Linked DNA regions of Caenorhabditis elegans. The protein of the gene in region 1 purifies or fractionates together with the protein of each later gene. This does not show direct contact. Each region holds a gene or a part of one and is shown on either strand. Other genes may lie near its edges.

Evidence for each region. The genes of interacting proteins can lie anywhere in the genome.
Region 2: the proteins of W03G1.2 (region 1) and mtcu-1 fractionate together in Caenorhabditis elegans (co-fractionation; one large-scale study listed by BioGRID). This does not show direct contact.

Annotation. Positions count from the first base shown.
Region 1 is NC_003282.8:521,186-528,554, forward strand, and holds W03G1.2 (Ribosomal RNA-processing protein 8), read left to right. Parts: upstream 1-3,466; 5' UTR 3,467-3,511; coding exon 3,512-3,568; intron 3,569-3,630; coding exon 3,631-3,862; intron 3,863-4,342; coding exon 4,343-4,752; intron 4,753-4,805; coding exon 4,806-5,111; intron 5,112-5,155; coding exon 5,156-5,203; 3' UTR 5,204-5,306; downstream 5,307-7,369. Other genes in the region: Putative sphingomyelin phosphodiesterase asm-3, read right to left, coding at 1-75, 613-693, 746-856, 905-1,197, 1,571-1,693, 1,849-1,940, 2,156-2,228, 2,288-2,460 and 1 more.
Region 2 is NC_003279.8:14,768,094-14,778,303, reverse strand, and holds mtcu-1 (TrmE-type G domain-containing protein), read left to right. Parts: upstream 1-3,296; 5' UTR 3,297-3,307; coding exon 3,308-3,374; intron 3,375-3,573; coding exon 3,574-3,841; intron 3,842-4,366; coding exon 4,367-4,498; intron 4,499-5,548; coding exon 5,549-5,831; intron 5,832-6,985; coding exon 6,986-7,392; intron 7,393-7,438; coding exon 7,439-7,601; 3' UTR 7,602-7,615; downstream 7,616-10,210. Other genes in the region: sur-2 (Mediator of RNA polymerase II transcription subunit 23), read left to right, coding at 1-254, 902-1,027; F39B2.5 (SH2 domain-containing protein), read left to right, coding at 1,667-1,713, 1,766-1,890, 1,939-2,057, 2,762-3,049; gpr-158 (G-protein coupled receptors family 3 profile domain-containing protein), read left to right, coding at 9,378-9,787.

The DNA.
Region 1 (7,369 bases):
TTTTCTGCATCTTGGAGCTGGTTGATGAGCCATTGAAGGGTGCCATCTGGGTCAGTTTGGTTGATGTATAGCCAGCTGAAAACATTATTATTGTAATCCTACAGTACCGCTACCGTACCCCTAGCCTGCCCCAATCATAACGTACCGTGTCCCTACCGTATCCCTACCGTATTCTTATCGTACAGTGTCCTTACCGTAACTCTGCCGTCTCCCTACCGTATCCCTCTCGTACACCAGTTATACCACACCGTGTCCCTACTGCATCCGTTTTGTACCGCGCCGATACTGTACCTCTACCGTACCCTACCATATTGTTCCCGTATCTCGCGGTACCCCAACCGTACCTCACCATACCTTTAATGTACCACCACCGTACCTTATCCTACCGTATTCTACCGTACCCCAACAGTACCCCAACAGTGCCATATGATGTCTGCCTAAGACCCCACCGTACACCTATCATACCCCTAATCATAAAGCACCTATATTGTATGTTACCGTACCTCGACAGTACCCCTATCGCAAAACTACCGTACTCCTAACATACTCTTACCGTACCCTTACCGTATCCTGTCGTACCCCTCCCGTACACCTCACCGTACCCTCACTTACAAATTGATGCGATCTCCATAAACATTATTCAGCGAAATCATTCGAAGCCCATCATAGATCTTCTTCATGTAGCATCCGTTACTGAAATTGAGATGCTTACAATTTTTTTCCCAAACTCTTCAAAAAACCCAACTATTCCAAACTCTTCTCCTGATCCGCTGGAATCCATCCCTGCCAGGCGTTTGACATGGCCTTGTAGAGCCAATCCATATGATACTTCTTCGGTGTGAAATGTGGTGCAATACTGTAAAAATGGTCGTGAGTGATAAACATAGAATACAAGTTCACCCACTTATCAACAGGAACTCCTTCATGATTCCCGACTGCAAAGTAGACCGGAGTTTTTGGGAAATACGAGCGAATCGTATCCGACAAGTTTTTTACCATAAACGAGTGGGTTTCCGGAGTGTACGCCCAAACTGTATGGGACACAAGGTCTCCGGATACCATAATGTAGTCCAGTTTTCCAGCGGTACTTGCGATGTTTTGGAGCATGTTCGTGAGAAGCCAATAAGGTGTGTCGCACGAACCAACACTTCCCCAAGGTCCAGCAGGTTGTTTGACATCTCCGTTTTCAACGATTTCCTGAAAAAAGTTAAGGGTTTATACGTGCCTACGTGAGGATCGCGCCGATCAATCAGCGACAAGAGCCACGCCCTTTGTGCATCGCTGATTGGTCGGCGGCCTCTTCAATTACGCGCGAAGTCAAATTTTTGAAATGCTTCTGACAAGTACTTGTTTTCTAGCGTTACATAGTCATATTTGTTAAAAGTGCAGAGTTCTGTAGAGGTTCTGTTAAGTATTTCTTCATTCAAAAATTTCAAATAGAAACCCCCCAACTTCGGGGGCTTCTCCTTCCCATCTCAACTTCCTTATCAAATAAATATTTTTCAGCAACCTTTGTGATCGTTGCTCTTTCTCCCTCTTTCTCAACAATTTTCCAAATTAAACACCATACCACATTCATATCTTGTGGTCGACAACATTGCGGAGTTCCACAGTCTGCCTCGAGCCCGACCGTGTAGAACATGTCAACATGAAGGTCGGTCAAGTGAAGTGCTCGCAGAGTTGGGTTGCCTGGCTGAAAATTGGAGGTTTTGTTGGTGTCGGGGTAGGCGCCTGTTTATGCCTACGTGCAAACCTACCACTTATCTAGTGGCATTCGGAAAATTTGGCAGTAGACAGTAGTAGGCAGGCATAGGTAGGCATACCTTTTTTGTCAAAAAAAAAACCTACCGGAACAACTTGTTTCGGCACGAATGGTGGCTGATTTCCAGGAATCGTCATGTTCCAAATTGTCGCCAATGGATCCACGAAGTCTCCGCAGTCTGAAATAATTCCAAATAGGCATGCAATCGTGCCTACCTACGCGCCTACATGCGTGACTAGCCTGAAAGATAGTGATCAGCTTGGCAGTCTACTAGAATCTTCTCAAGCCGCCCCGCACCCCATGTTCTATTAGGGCGGCGGGTCACTGTTACGCGTCGGTCTGGTAGTAGGCATGTAGGTAGGCATGTTTGTGCCTAGGCATGGTAGTACTTACCATTTTTCATAAGCAATCCGCAAAGTTGATGTGGAGTCACGAGAATTTGCTTGATGACATACATGAATTCGTCCTGAAATCTTTGATTTTCAATACATTTTTAAAATTAAATTAAATATTAATGTGTCTCACTGAGAAATCCGAAATAATAAAGTTACAGACATCATTATCTTCAATATGGAACGTTTCACAAATAAAAACCGCAATTTCCATAACACATTCTTCAGTCTTCTTTTCTCCCCACTCAAATTGCAAAAGGTCCACAATTGACTTGCATTCCTCGCATTCTGTCACCGCGAGGGTGCCTGGAAAATTTTTTCCTGGAATTTAAACACAAAAATGTAAATCTAAAACTCTACCCTGAAATGCGAGAGAAAGGACGAGAAGACCTAGGAGCATCGGAGCCGTATCGTTTCTGATGTTAAACGGGAGCAGCGGCGGAGGGGGAGAAGCCGAGGTTTCCAGTAATAAAGATAAGAAATTTGGAGCGGGAGAAGCACATGGCGATGACACGTTGGGAATGCTCACTGATTTTTGAACGACTTATCAGGTATGGAGACTACAAGTTTTTTGGAAACTATAACTTTTTGGAGAGGAAAAGTTCAAATATAGAAATTTTTCTTGAAAATGCACCAAAAAATGTGAATAAAACCTTTTTTCTGGACAAAGTGCCTACGTGCCTGCCTACTGCCTATTTTAGGCACGAGGCAGGCGCAGGTCGCCTAGTAGGCAGCTATCATTTTTGTATCGGCGCGAAAATTTCAAGAGAAACTACAACAATGGCATGTTTTCCTGCAATGTTGAAATTTTATGCCTGCCTACCGCCTATTTTAGGAATGTGTGTAGAACGAGGCAGGTGTAGGTGGTTCTAGTGGCCTGCAGACTAACATTTTTCGTGAACTTGAAAATTAAAAAATAACATTTTAACTAGTTGGGCTTTCCTGCCTGCCTATGGGCCTATCTACTGTAGGCAAAAGGCAGGCGTAGGCCGTTTCAAAGGCGTGTAGAAATTTTCGTGCGAAACCGAAAAAAGTTATGCAATATTAAATTAATATATATCTTCAAAACCAGAATACGTTTTTTCTACCTCTCTACCGCATATTTCTCGCCTGAAGGCATAGGTCGCCTTGCAGGCAAGTGGCACATTTGTGCTTATGTACATTGGAAAGGTTAAGAAAATGTTTTTTTTTAATTTAAATAAAATAAATTACTCCAAAAAACTGCACCAAAAGTTCAATTTAAAAAAAACGTGAACTTCAAAAATACGAGAAGATTCTTATCACATCCCCTACCCCCACTCTGAATTTTTTCATTATTTTTGTATTTCGAAACTTTCGCGTTGCATCTTCTCCCATCATGAAGAAATTGTCCAAAAAAAGCTCGAGAAGAAAAGTTAAAAATATTAACGAAAAAGTAAGTTGTGATTTTCGAAATTTTCAATTTCCAGGCGTCTTCCAGAACTAATTAAATTTCAGAAAAAGAAATCTAAGGCACGCAGTCATAAAAAGCAACAACTTCAAAAGTCGAAGCAACATGGTAAAAATAAGAAGACAAAAACTAAGTCAACTAGTGGATCTTTGTCGGTGGATAAATCGAAAGAGTCGGAAAAGATGTTGATAGCAAGGAAAAATGATTCAAGAACGGTGAATTACAAGGAAAAAGCACCGGAAGCTGTAAAAGATCATGAGATTCCTAATGCAAATCGCAGTGAGTTCTAGTGTTTTTTTTTTGAAATTTTTTTGGAAACTTTTAAAGGGCTCAGGAAAGTTTTTTAAACGGTTCGGAAGTTTTAGAAACCTTTGGAAAATTTCTGGAAGATTCTGGAAAGTTTTTGGAACGTCTGATGACTTTGAAAAATTCCAAAAATTTTCAGAAGCTTCTGGGAGCATCTAGACATTTTTGAAAGCTTATGAAAAATTTTTAAAGCCTCTGGAAACTCTTGAAACATTTTTTATTCGAAAAAAAAAAATCAATTTGAAACATTGAAATCCACGACGTCCACGTGGAAGCAAAATTATTTAATGACGTATAAAAAAAATTCCAACAAAAAAATTGTGCTTGCCTGTTCATCTTCTGCCTTTAGGTAGACACTAAAATGCCTACCTACCTTAGTAGGTAGGTAGGCAGGCATCTTTGTACCTACCTGAAAATCCAAAACCCTAACACCTCCACAATTTCCTGTTTCAGTTCCCGGAACGACACGGCTCAACGAACCGAAAAACATCGAGGTCACGAATCACGAGGTGGATGATAAGACGACGGAGCGAGTCTATAAGAAGTTGAGGGAAAAGAAGAAGTCGGCGGCGAAACCGAAACCAATCGATGCGAAAAGCAAGCTTCTGATGGATCGAGTGCCGAAAAAACCATATCGATTGAAGAATAAGCCCGATGGTATGATGTTGTGCGACGAGCCATCCACTTTCTACCGTACCAACACTTCAAAGAAGAAACTGAAGACGTCTTTACTTCCCGTTGAGGATTCTTATGATCACGTTCGAAAATTGGAGGACATTAAGAAGGAACCAGAGCAAGATGTGTACAAGGGTCAGGACGTCCCCACCTGGGCAGTAAAAATAGAACCAACTGACGATGACATGGTGAGTTATCTTTTTGTGTAGGTCTCAGGAAAAATAATTTTAAAAAATTTCAGAAAGAGACCGACGAGGCGATCACTGTGAGTACCGATCATTTGGAGATGTACCGAAACAAGAAGCTCAGTCTCAAAAGCATTCCCCCCACGAAACTGGTGCTCAACGAGCTACAACCGTTGGTGGAGTTGAAGAAGAGAGATGAAGTTCACTTTGAGACCGGGCTGGTGTTCTCCAACACGATTCGGAGTCTGTTGCTTGTCCATGAGAGTGCTCGAGCGCTGAGTGATGGAAAAGTGGATGATGAGTATTCCGACAAGAAGGTCCAGTTTGATACACAGGAACCGGAAGCAACATACATCTACTCGGTGAGATATTCCCGGCTGGGGAACAGCTAATTGAAAATTTTCAGAGAATCAACCCAATCGAATCGGCCAAAGCCGCTCGTTCTGGAAAGTGACACGCCAGCACTTCTACCACCAATACAACCACATCGAATTAGAACTGAACTTGATTTTGCCTTGATTTTATAAATAAAGTGTGCGTTCAGGGCTTAATTTAAAAATTTTTATTAATTTTAATAAGGAAATGCGAGCAAAAAAGTGAAAAAGGTTTCAATTTTTGCAGTGGGAGTGGATAGAAAGTAAAACAATGAAATCATTATGTGATGAGCGAGGTAAGGAATAACAGAAGAAGGCAATAAATACAAGTTTTTGAAAAAAATTTAAGTGAGAGTGGAGTAAATAAAAATGATGATGGGAGCTTAGTTCTGGACTTGGGAGGGAAATTGGTACTTACATTAGTTAATTTAGGTAAAAACCTGAAATTTTAAATTCCGGCAATTTTCCCTTTGGCCGATTTGCCGGAAATTTTTAAAGGGATTTTTTAACAGACGGATGAATTTTTTCTGTTTTTTCTACATATTTTCATAGAGCTTACTTTTAAAAATAGATGTAGGAACATTTATACGATGCGTACAATTTTGTCATTTGAAATTGAAACTCTGAAATTTCCAAAAAAAAAGTGCGAAACCACAATTTGCCGAGAATTTTTTCCGGCATATTTTCTAATAGTATTGCATGCGATACTAATTTCCGGATACCTTTTCAGTGCAATACTATTAGAGACTGCAAGACTAATTTCTTTGGGTGCAATACTAATAGAGAACATACGGTAATCGAAAAGTGAAATTAATATGCATTTTTAGGTTTAAAAAACACTAATTCTAAGCCTAATATAGACAAAAAAAGGCACGTTATATTTTCAAAATGATTGACTTTCTTTGGCAGGTATACTACACAAGTTCCGGAAAATTAAAAAAAAACTTTGAACAATAGAGTTTGTAATAGGAACAGCTTGAAAAATAGATGCAAAATGTAAGTTTTTCAAGATAATTCAGGCTCGCCCATTACAACAAAATTTTGAATGAAATTTGTAGAGGAGCACGAGTTTAATAACAATGAGTACAAGCAGTTTCCCAATCATCAAACCCAATATAGAACTCATCATATTCTGGGGGACTGGGGGCCCATTTCCTCACAGTTCCCAATCTGCCGACCTCATCTTCAGTGATCATATGGCCGACTTCATTCACTAATTCTCTCGCCACCATCATTGAATTTATCCTGGAACCCATTGCTGTGGTCAAGAGGTTTGTAATGTTACGAACATCATCAATAGTTTTTCTTTGTCTATTTCCACAATCACATTTTCGGATTTGAATACATCTTTCAATAATTTCACCAATCCCACAATTCGCTCATCCATAGTTTCCTTGTTATATGTAAAAACAAGAGCCGAGCTTGTGAAGCATTTTTGGGTGGCAACGCTTTCCGGTAGATTCCAAATTTTCCTTAGTGATTCAATATCCTTCTTCAATTCAGGAGCAAAAGAAAGATGAGGAAAACCTGGTTCCTCACATACTGCAACAAATATTCGTTTTGACACAAATATTATCAAGTTAAGTTTATAAAGATGTGTAAACTGTCTGACAGCTATCTTGGAATTCTGAGAAGCCATCGATAAGGATAATCTGAAAATTGTTATATAGTTAGACAGAAAAAACAGTATGGAAACACAGGAAGAGTATTTGAAACTATTAGGGTGAGAAATAAGTTTGTGGTTTTTTCTTGCGATATTTTTTCAAACTTTTATATGGTAGTTATAGGAAACTATGATTTGTGTACATTCAAATGTTGTGAATCAAATTTCTCGCTTCCATGCTTCTTGGAGCCACTTCTTGAATTTCAATAATTTCCAACTTCGATCCTTCGGTCCATTTTTGAAAAAGTTTCTCAGTGACGTGTGATTCAACAGGGCAATGAAATTCGATCGATTTCCATTTATTCACCGAGCTAATGATACTGTCGTTTGCAACAAACGCTTCTTTCACCACTCCCATCAGTCGCTCAATTTTCTCGGTTTCGCCGAACAATTTTCGGAACGCTCCATCGATAGTGGTCTGCTTTCAAAGTTCACGCAAATTCGATCTGGATCCTCGACTCGAAACGTTTGAGCAATTTTATGGAACGTGTAATCTTCAAAGTTCTCAAAGAAATTGGAGGAGAATGTCAAACTGTACGCTGTTTGTCTGTTATTTTTGAATGATTCGAAGATTTCGTTGCAG
Region 2 (10,210 bases), on another chromosome or scaffold:
TGGATACATCACAACATCAGACAATTCAACAACAATCAAATCATCCTACTCAACAACAACTTCAACATCAAATTCCGAATATGTCGATGCATCAACAAATGGGACCTCAATATCCTGGTGCAGTTTTTCATCATCCATCTGGACCTGTGGGACATGTCCCAATGCAATATGGAATGGGACATCATATGCAACAGCACCCACATCTTCCACATCATCAGCAAATGCCGGCACCTATGCATACAATGAATCCTATGGTAAACATTTGGAAAATTTCGAAAAAAATAATTTTTAAAATCACTTGATAGATTCAAAATTTTTTCGAAAATTCCAAAAATAAAAAAAAGGTTCTAAACATTCCCAAAAGTTTTGAGAACTTCAAAATTTTCGAAATTTCCAACAAAAACAAATTGAAAGTTTTCTCCAACTTTTAGAAATTCCCAAAAAAAAATTCCAATCTTACAGAACATCTGAAAAATCTGAAATTCCATAAGCTTTAAAAAACCAAATTTTCAAAAGTTTCGGTAAATTTCTTTTTCTACCCCGCATTTTTAAAAGAATATTCAATAAAATTGAATTTTTCGAATTTAAATCGATTTTTTCCAAAAAAAAAATCAAAGAATTCCAAAAAAAAATCCAAAATTTCCTGAAAATTAAAAAAAGGTTTTCAATTTTGTCCGAAAAAAAATCAAAGAATTCCAAAAAAAATTCCAAAATTTCCTAAACATTAAAAAAAAATGGTTTTCAATTTTTTTTCCGAAAAAAAATCAAAGAATTCCAAAAAAAAAGCTAAATTTCCTAAAACTTCAAAAAAGGGGTTTCGATGTATTTTGCAAAAATAAAACACAATTTCCGAAAAAAAAATTTTTTCCAAAAATCCTCGAATTCCAAAAAAAATTTCCAGATGCAAAACATGACTCCTCAACAGCAATATCTCTACATGCAACAACTTCAACAACATCAGCAACATCAACAGTACATGCAACAGCAACAACAGCATCACCATCAACACCAACAGCAACCTCATTAATTTTTTTTCATAATTTACCTAGTTTTTTACAATTTACCATCATATATTTGAAAAATCTCACTGATTACGGTTATGTACATATATTTATTATTGTTTATAGTTTTTTACTTCAAAATTTTCATAAAATTTTATTTTTCTTATTCTTTTTCAATCTTTTTTTCAATTTAAAGATTAAAAATCTTTCAATATCTCGACCCCTAACACTGTACAATGTCGATTTACGCAGCTCGTGTACTCCCCGAGGATAAGTGAAAAATCAATGGTTTTGGTCAAAATTGCATGTTTTGCTTAAATTTTGGATTTTGGCTTCTTTTTTAAATTCAAACAAATTTGTCGATTGGCCGATATGCCGGAATCTTTCAATTACGGCAATTTGCCGATTTGCCGGGAATTTCCATTTTCATGCAAAATAATTGCTGATTTAATAATATATGGCGCCCACGCCTGGAAACAGCGACGGTTTTTTGAAAAAGAGATATAATTGCGATTTGAACATTAAATTCGGAAAGAATCGGATCATAATCTTCTCCTCGTGGAGTACACGACTTCCGTAAATCGACAATCTTCAATTTTAAAATTCAATTAATTTTGTTAAGATTGAAACTATTTTCAGTAACAAAAGTTTCCTTCAATGCTCCTATGCCCTCCAACAAGGTGATTTGTTCTGATCTTTACGATTGTGATTGGTAAACAATAAAATAACTGAAAAAAGATTTAAATATGCCTATTTTATTCCAGGTATTGGGGAGATTTGGACTGGAAATGGGCAGAACGGCTGCTCCTTTTGTGCCCAATCGGATATTTTTTAATTCGAGACAGTCGAAGTGAAACTCATCTTTTCACTGTTTCTTATCATTTTCAAGGTATTGTTTTTCAAAAAATCAATTTTTTCCAAATAAATATAATTTCAGATAGAGTCTATCATTCGCGCTTGTCACTTGAAGATTCACGACGGAATTTGGGTAGTCGGCAGCCATACGTCTCACGTGACTATTGGAATCTTGTGGAAATTATTGAGAGAAGTTTAGAGGTATGTAGTACATTTAAAAATATCTATGATTTTTGATTTTAAAAAAATCGGAAAAGAGTAAAACTTTAAAAAAAAATTGTGACAGGCCAAAAAGGTCGAAAATATTTTTCGAAGAGTTAAAAAAAATCGAAATTTTCCCAAAATGTTTCCGGAAATCGAAAATATATTTTTTTAAAAGCAAATTATTTTTCCGAAAAACGGAAAAAAACTATTTTTTTTAAGTGAAAATAATTATTTTTCTTTTTAAAAAATTCGAAAACTAAAAAAATTCAAATTTTCCGAAAGTATGTCCTTTTTTTCTCAAAATTAGAAATTAAAAAAGAGTATTAATCAAAAAAAAATTTTTCGGAACATAATTTTAAAAATTAAAATTGAAAAACAAATCAAACACAATACAACCATTTTTTTTCATAAAATCGAGAAAAAATCCTTTTTTTTTCGAAAAACCAAAAAAAAATCACGAGAAAAATAATCGATTGTTCTAAAAAAAATTCACTTTTTTGCAGAAAAAAATTAAAAAATCACCATTTTTGTTCACAAAAAAAACCACATTCCCGAAAGAAAATAGTTCAGTTTTTTCAGAAATTAGTTTTTTTTTCAAAAATCCGAAAAAAACTGAGTTTTTCAAGCAAAAAAATAATTTAATGTTTCAAAAATCAAAAAAAATCGTAGTTTTTCGGAAAAAAACACTAAACTTTTTTCAGCAATCCCTAACAGGACAACAAGAAATGCTCCACTATCGACGTGGACATGAAGCCGAAGCAGCGCGTGTCAATTTAACACGTCCACTCACAAAACGAGAGCTTCTACCATCACTACAGTACCTCTGTCGATTTACCCTGAAAACGAGTCAACAAAAACCACCGACACCCAAAACAGCTCCTCTGCCACCAACGATTTTAAAGTATTTGAGTGATTCGAAATGGATTATTCCTGATTTGAAGAAATGTGAAGAGCAATTGAAATTAAGATTTTGTGTAATTAATAATTAATTGTTTTAGTTTTGAATTATATCGAATTACGGGGTTTTTTTTGAATGCTTAATAAATAACTTTTTTCTCTCAAATTTAAGTTATATATTCATAAAATCTCGGTTTCTTTCCAGAAAAATTGTCACGGATCCTGTTTTTTATTAAATTTTCAAACATTTTTTTAAGATCGTGAAAATTTTGAAATTAAAAAAAAGAACCTTTCGAGTAATCAAATTTTTTTTTAATTGGAAAAGAATAATTTTTTCAGGCATTTAGAAAATGTCGACAATCTTCGCCCTATCGTCTGGCACATTGCCAAGCGCAATTGCGATGTTCCGCGTTTCAGGTTAATTTTCAGAACAATTGAAAAAAAAAATTCCATTAGGTTACGAATGGTTCATTTTGAAAAAATTTCTGCCAAAATAGCCATAAACAATATAAAAATCTCTGAAAAAATTCGTACGATGCTCTTGCGAAACCCCCCCCCCCCCCAAAAAAAGGCTTTCTGAGCTTACTGTTCACAGTATTCACAGTATTTTTTCCAGGATCACAAAGCCTCCCCGTACTCCGCCAGCTGAGCCGTCGAAAAGTTTGGAAGCCGAAAACGATGAAATACACGAAATTGTACGATTCAGAGAGCAAAATCATCGATGAAGCAATGGCGGTATATCTTCCCGGCCCGAAAACGTTTACCGGAGAAGACACAGCCGAGTTTTTTCTACATGGAAGTCAGGCCGTGGCCGTGAAGTTTGCCTCATGTTTGGCTGGAATTCAAAATGTTCGAGAAGCGAAGCGAGGAGAATTCACGAGGAGGTTATTATTAGCATACGATTTTCAAAAATCGGGGTTCAAACCAGGGATGGGCAGCAATTGCCGTTCGGCAAATTTTTTTCGACAAATTCGGCGATTCCGGCAATTTGCCGATTTGCCGGAAATTTCAATTCCGACAATTTGCTGATTTGCCGATTTGCCAATTTGCCGGAAAAATTGTTTGCCGTCCACCCCTGGTTAAAACGCGCTCCACGGCTAAAAGTTGGGTCTCGCTAGGTTTTGGCTGCTGCAAAACCGTAATTTCGAACGTTTTCAATAAGTTTTCGTTATTTTTGTTATGTTTCCTGTCGTTTATTAATTAATTTTATGTTGAAAAAATGTCCAAAAGTGCTTTAATTTTTCATTTAACCATGAAAACAAAATAACATTAGAGTTTTTGGTTTTGCCGCCGAATAAAAATTCCAAACTTTCCGCAGTTGAGCGCGCTTGCACATCTGTTTCAAAATATTTTGAATGCATTTAAATGCACATTTTGGGTCTCTATAATAACTCTTAGTTAATTTACAGAGCATTTCACAACGGAAAATTGAGCATTTCCGAGGTTCGAGGAATCGATCGGCTAATTAAATCTCGAACCGAAAAAGAACGAAATGCGGCATTTGGTCAAATGCGTGGTGGAGTTCGAGCTATTGAAATAAGGTATTGAAGTGAGAAAAATTGGAATTTTATATTGTTCGCAAGCAATTTGAAAAAACAAAAAAATCCCTCGAGATTTGGAATTTTTGGAAAAAAAAACTTAAAAAAAAAAGGAAAAAAAAAGATTTATAGGGATTTTTAAAAATTTCATTAAAACTTATGATATCGTACGAGCTTTTCAATAATACATTTTTTCAAATTGCCGGAATAGAAATGTCCGGCAAATCGACAATTTGTCGGTATTGAAAACTTCCGGCGAATCAGAAAATTGCTGGAATTGAAATTTCCGGCAAATCGGCAAATTGCTGGAATTGAAATTTCCGGCAAATCGGCAAATTGCTGGAATTGAAATTTCCGGCAAATCGGCAAATTGCTGGAATTGAAATTTCCGGCAAATCGGCAAATTGCTGGAATTGAAATTTCCGGCAAATCGGCAAATTGCTGGAATTGAAATTTCCGGCAAATCGGCAAATTGCTGGAATTGAAATTTCCGGCAAATCGGCAAATTGCTGGAATTGAAATTTCCGACAAATCGGCAAATTGCTGGAATTGAAATTTCCGGCAAATCGGCAAATTGCTGGAATTGAAATTTCCGGCAAATCGGCAAATTGCTGGAATTGAAATTTCCGGCAAATCGGCAAATTGCTGGAATTGAAATTTCCGGCAAATCGGCAAATTGCTGGAATTGAAATTTCCGGCAAATCGGCAAATTGCTGGAATTGAAATTTCCGGCAAATCGGCAAATTGCTGGAATTGAAATTTCCGGCAAATCGGCAAATTGCTGGAATTGAAATTTCCGGCAAATCGGCAAATTGCTGGAATTGAAATTTCCGGCAAATCGACAAATTTCTGGAATGGAAATTTCCGGGAAATCGGCAACTTGCCGGAATTGAAATTACCGATAAATCGACAATTTGCCGGAATTGGAAATTTCCGGCAAATCGGAAAATTGCCGGAATTGAAATTTTCGGCAAACCGGCAATTTGCCAATTTGCTGAATTTGTCGACAAAAACTTCGTGCCGCATACCCCTGACATTTACTCTCAATTTCAGGAAGCAATTAATTCAAATTCTATCGAAACTATTTGTGATCATTGATTTTGGAGAACACGTGAACTTGGAATTACGCGAAGCTCAACAAGATGTCTCTGAAATTCTTCATGAACTCAATCGAATGATCAAAGCGTGGGATGGTGCAGAACGGGCTCAACGTGGATTGGATATTGTGCTCTATGGAAGACCGAATTCCGGAAAATCAAGCATTTTAAATCAGTTAGCGCATGATGACGTGGCAATTGTTAGCTCGATTCCTGGAACCACGAGAGATAGTTTGGAAGTAAAAATGATCATATAAACCTATTGAAGTGTTAAAATTTTTCAAATTTTTCAAAAATTAACCAAAAAATTTCAATCAAATTTTCTTTTGCGATTTTTTTTTCTGAAACTAAAATCAGTTTTTCCAAAACTACAGTAATCCTACAGTATTCCCTACAATACTACTACAGTACTCCAATCATATCCCCCTATTAACACCAAACTAATAACCCTTCAAAATACGAAAAACCAGTTTTTCTCCAACTACAGTAACCCTACAGTAATCCTACAGTATTCCCTACAGTACTACTACAGTACCCTAGCCACGTTCCCTTGAACAATCAATTTTGAAACTCCTCTAAAACACACAATTTTGAAATTTAAAAAGTGGCAAAAATTCCAATTTTTTGTAAAAATTCACAATTTTGAAACTCTTCTAAAATGGGCAATTTTGTAGCTAGAGGACTCAAAATTGATCTGCAAACATTAAAAAAATTTTCCTTTTTAAGAATATAATAGTTTTGAACATTTTTAGGGAAATTATTTTTTTGCCCAAAATAAAAAAAGGATAGTCATTAGATGGCTGAAAATAGTTTGGGCAAAAATAAAAAGTTGTCTAAATTTGTTGAAAACGGGTAATTTATGTATGTTGAATTCAGAAAATCTAGGTTTAACCCGTCAAAAACTTTTAAAAAGTGGCAAAAATGGCAGATTTATGGCAAAAATTCACAATTTTGAATCTTCTCTAAAATGGGCAATTTTGTAGCTAGAGGACTCAAAATTGATTTAGGATTATAAAAAAATTGACCTTTTTCAGAATATAGTAGTTTTAAACATTTTCAGAAAAATTATTTTTTTGCCCAAAATAAAAAAAAAGGACAGTCATTAGATGGCTGAAAATAATTTGGGCAAAAATAAAAAGTTGTCTAAATTTGTTGAAAACGGGTAATTTATGTATGTTGAATTCAGAAAATCTAGGTTTAACCCGTCAAAAACTATTAAAAAGTGGCAAAAATGGCCAATTTATAGCAAAAATTCACAATTTTGAATCTTCTCTAAAACGGGCAATTTTGTAGCTCAAAAGACGAAAAGTCAATTTTTCGAAAACTACGGTAATCCTACAGTACTCCTAGAGTGCCTGGAAAATGTTCCAAACATTAATTGAAAATCTTACAGACAATCATTCAAATTAACGGAGTTCGATGCCGTCTCACAGACACTGCTGGAGTTCGACAAAAAACTAATGACGTCATTGAGGCAGAAGGTATTCGACGTGCTCAAAAACGAATCCAATCAGCTGACATTATCTGCGTTGTCGTGGATCCACAATTCACGTCGGATGACGATGTTGAATCGATTTTGAATGACGTGGAAGTGATGCGAAATCGCGAAGCTCGTGTGATTATTGCAAAGAATAAGTCTGATCTGAGTCTGAAGTATCCAAAACTTCCCTCAAATTTCACTACTGTATCTACAAATGCTACCACAGATACTGGCTGCAAACAACTTCAAAACTGTTTGGGAGAAATTGTAGATGATCTGTGTCCTGAAGCAAGTTATTTACTAGATGCAGATCTGTTAAGGTTTTTTTTTGTCAAAAAATAATATTCAAAGTTGTTTTAATTTCAGAAGATGCTCATTCGAATTGGAGTCAGCTGTAACGTGTAACGACGCAGCAATCATGTGTTCACATCTGGAAGTTGCCTTGGAACAAATCGGAGAGCTCACCGAGGGAATTGTCACTGAAAGTGTTCTAGATGGAATTTTTAGCAAATTTTGTATCGGAAAATAAAAGCTTTGACCATTTTTGGCACTTTTAAATAGTTTTTTTTTGGGTTAAACCTAGATTTTCTGAATTCAGCGTGTATGAATTACCCGTTTTCACCTTTTGATTTTTGCCCAATTTTTTTTCAGCCATCTAATGACTGTCCTTTTTTTATTTTGGGCAAAAAAAAAAGTTTTCTGAAAATGTTCAAAGCCACTATATTCTGATAATGGACAATTTTTTAGTCTTTATAGATCAATTTAGAGTCATCTAACTTCAAAATTGCCCATTTTAGATGTGTTTCAAAGTTGTGAATTTTTGCCATAAATTGCCCATTTTTGCCATTTTTTAATAGTTTTTGATGGGTTATACCTAGATTTTCTGAAAATTTTTTTTCGGCCATCTAATGACTGTCCTTTTTCTTTTATTTTGGGCAAAAAAATAATTTTTCTCAAAGTGTGCAAAACCACTATATTCTGAAAAAAGGCAATTTTTTATTGTTTGGAGATAAATTTTGAGTCGCCTAGCTATAAAATTAACCATTTTAGAAGAGTTTCAACATTTTGGTTTCGCCCTTTTTTTGTGGTCAAAAAAAATTTATGTTCTGAAGTTGTTCAAAATCACTAATAAGTGAAAAAGAAAAAAAGTCGTTTTTTAATTCAAAAACTACAACGGTAGAAGTCTCCTTAAGAACTCTTTTCTCTCTCTCTCTCTTCTTGTCTCTTTTCCAGTGCCTAATTATATTATGGGAAAGCAGACACTCATATCTCATTTGACTCCCGATTTCTGTCAAAACGTCTCATTTTGCACAAGTATCATCTATTTTCTGTAAAAGGTTTTGTTTCTGTGAAAAGTATGTGTGTGTGAAAAAGAAATTGGGATCGTATATAGTATTATAGTATTGTTTGTTCTCCGTCCTTTTGTCTCATGACTCATTGATCAAATCTAGAAATCGGGAAAATTCCCACAAATCAGTGAAAGCCATTCAGTTTTAGAATGTGTTTTGGGATACTAACAATAGTCCATCAAGGTAGTTATGTAAAATAATACTTATCAGATAATGCAAACAACATAATGACCAACGTTTTGTTAGTTGACCGTTTTCGAAAAAAATGTTCAGTTTTGAGTTATGCTTAATTAAACACCACCCGATATTCATGAAAAAACCGTTTGTACATACCTTTATGGCCAGCACTGTAGTTGGATTCAAATTCAGCTAGAGACGAAGACAAGTATTACTTTTCAAAATCCAATGTGCTGACTTGTGACCCATATATTGGCGTATACCGTGTATATCGGATCCATAATGTTGATTTTAAAGACCATATTCATCCACAGAACCCATTTAAAGATATAAGTATGGGGTTAGTCAACTGAGGTCCTCATTACATTAAGTCGTTACAAAAGATTTATTTTGTTCTGAATGTGTGTGTGTGTGTATGCGAATGCATTTAGGCTAACTAACACCCCCCTCCCCCCAATCCATCCGAAAATAAATAAAAAAACAAGACACTCATGTGTAATACATGGGAGGGGGGACGCCTTCTATCTTTTCAACGTCTTCTCCTTTTTGAGCAAAGAAGAAGAAGAAGAAGAAGAAGAAGAAGACTTTTCCTTTTTTTGTGAGAAGACGACGCAGACGTTACAAGAGCACAAAGTTTCTCATTGTGTCTGTCACCTCTTCAATCTTTCTAGGGTCCTCTCACGGCCTGGAGCCTCTCCCTTCAGCAGCACACGGGCTATTGCTGCACACACACACAGAGCCGCCGTCGCCGCCGCCAGCAGAGCACACACTCTGAATCGATGAGGCGTCCGACGACGACGACGTCGTCATCGTCGTCATACACTCCATGGTATCATCACATATTTATTATCTTTCTACAGTATTCCTTGTTTCATATATCACCGACATTCGGGGCGCGTAACACCGTTACTGAAGGTGGACAGCCGCTGACCGAGCTCCTCAGCTCGCTAGATCAACCCTACCCATGTGGGCATGTAGTTGAAGCAGAGCACTTTCTGTCAACAGCGGTTGCACTGAAATTTCCTAGGCTTATTCAACTTGCACACTTTTTTGCGAATCATTCAAAAAATTTTGATCCGCAGCTTCTTGACAAATCGTCATTTCAACAAATTCCACCATTCGATGTTTCGTTTGCAAGAAGAACACACTTTTATGGGCTACAGCTCAATTGCACTGGGAATAACCATCGGTGAGCATTTCTAATAGAAGGCACTTTGGTACAGTAACTCGTTGGTCACAATTGCCCTCTATTTTCTTGAGATTAACTATGTGACAGCTGTGTGGTAGATATGTTTTAGTCCTATAATAATAATACCTATGATTTTAAGCTATTATAAATTGTAATTCTGTACACGATCAAAAAGCCCATGTTCAGAATAGGTTTTATTCCCTGAAACGTCGATCTGGAAATTTTTCAGTAAACTTTTTTGAAAACGTTTGAATGAATAAAAAGTTTCAGAAATCTTCCGCATCTATAATATCATTTTTAAAGCAATGCAACGTTTATTTTTCAGTGCAAAATTTTAAATCTCGTTTAGAACCGTTGTATGGTTTCACTAATGAGGAACCACCATATTAGTCTCTATTAAAATTATAACATGCACAGTTTATA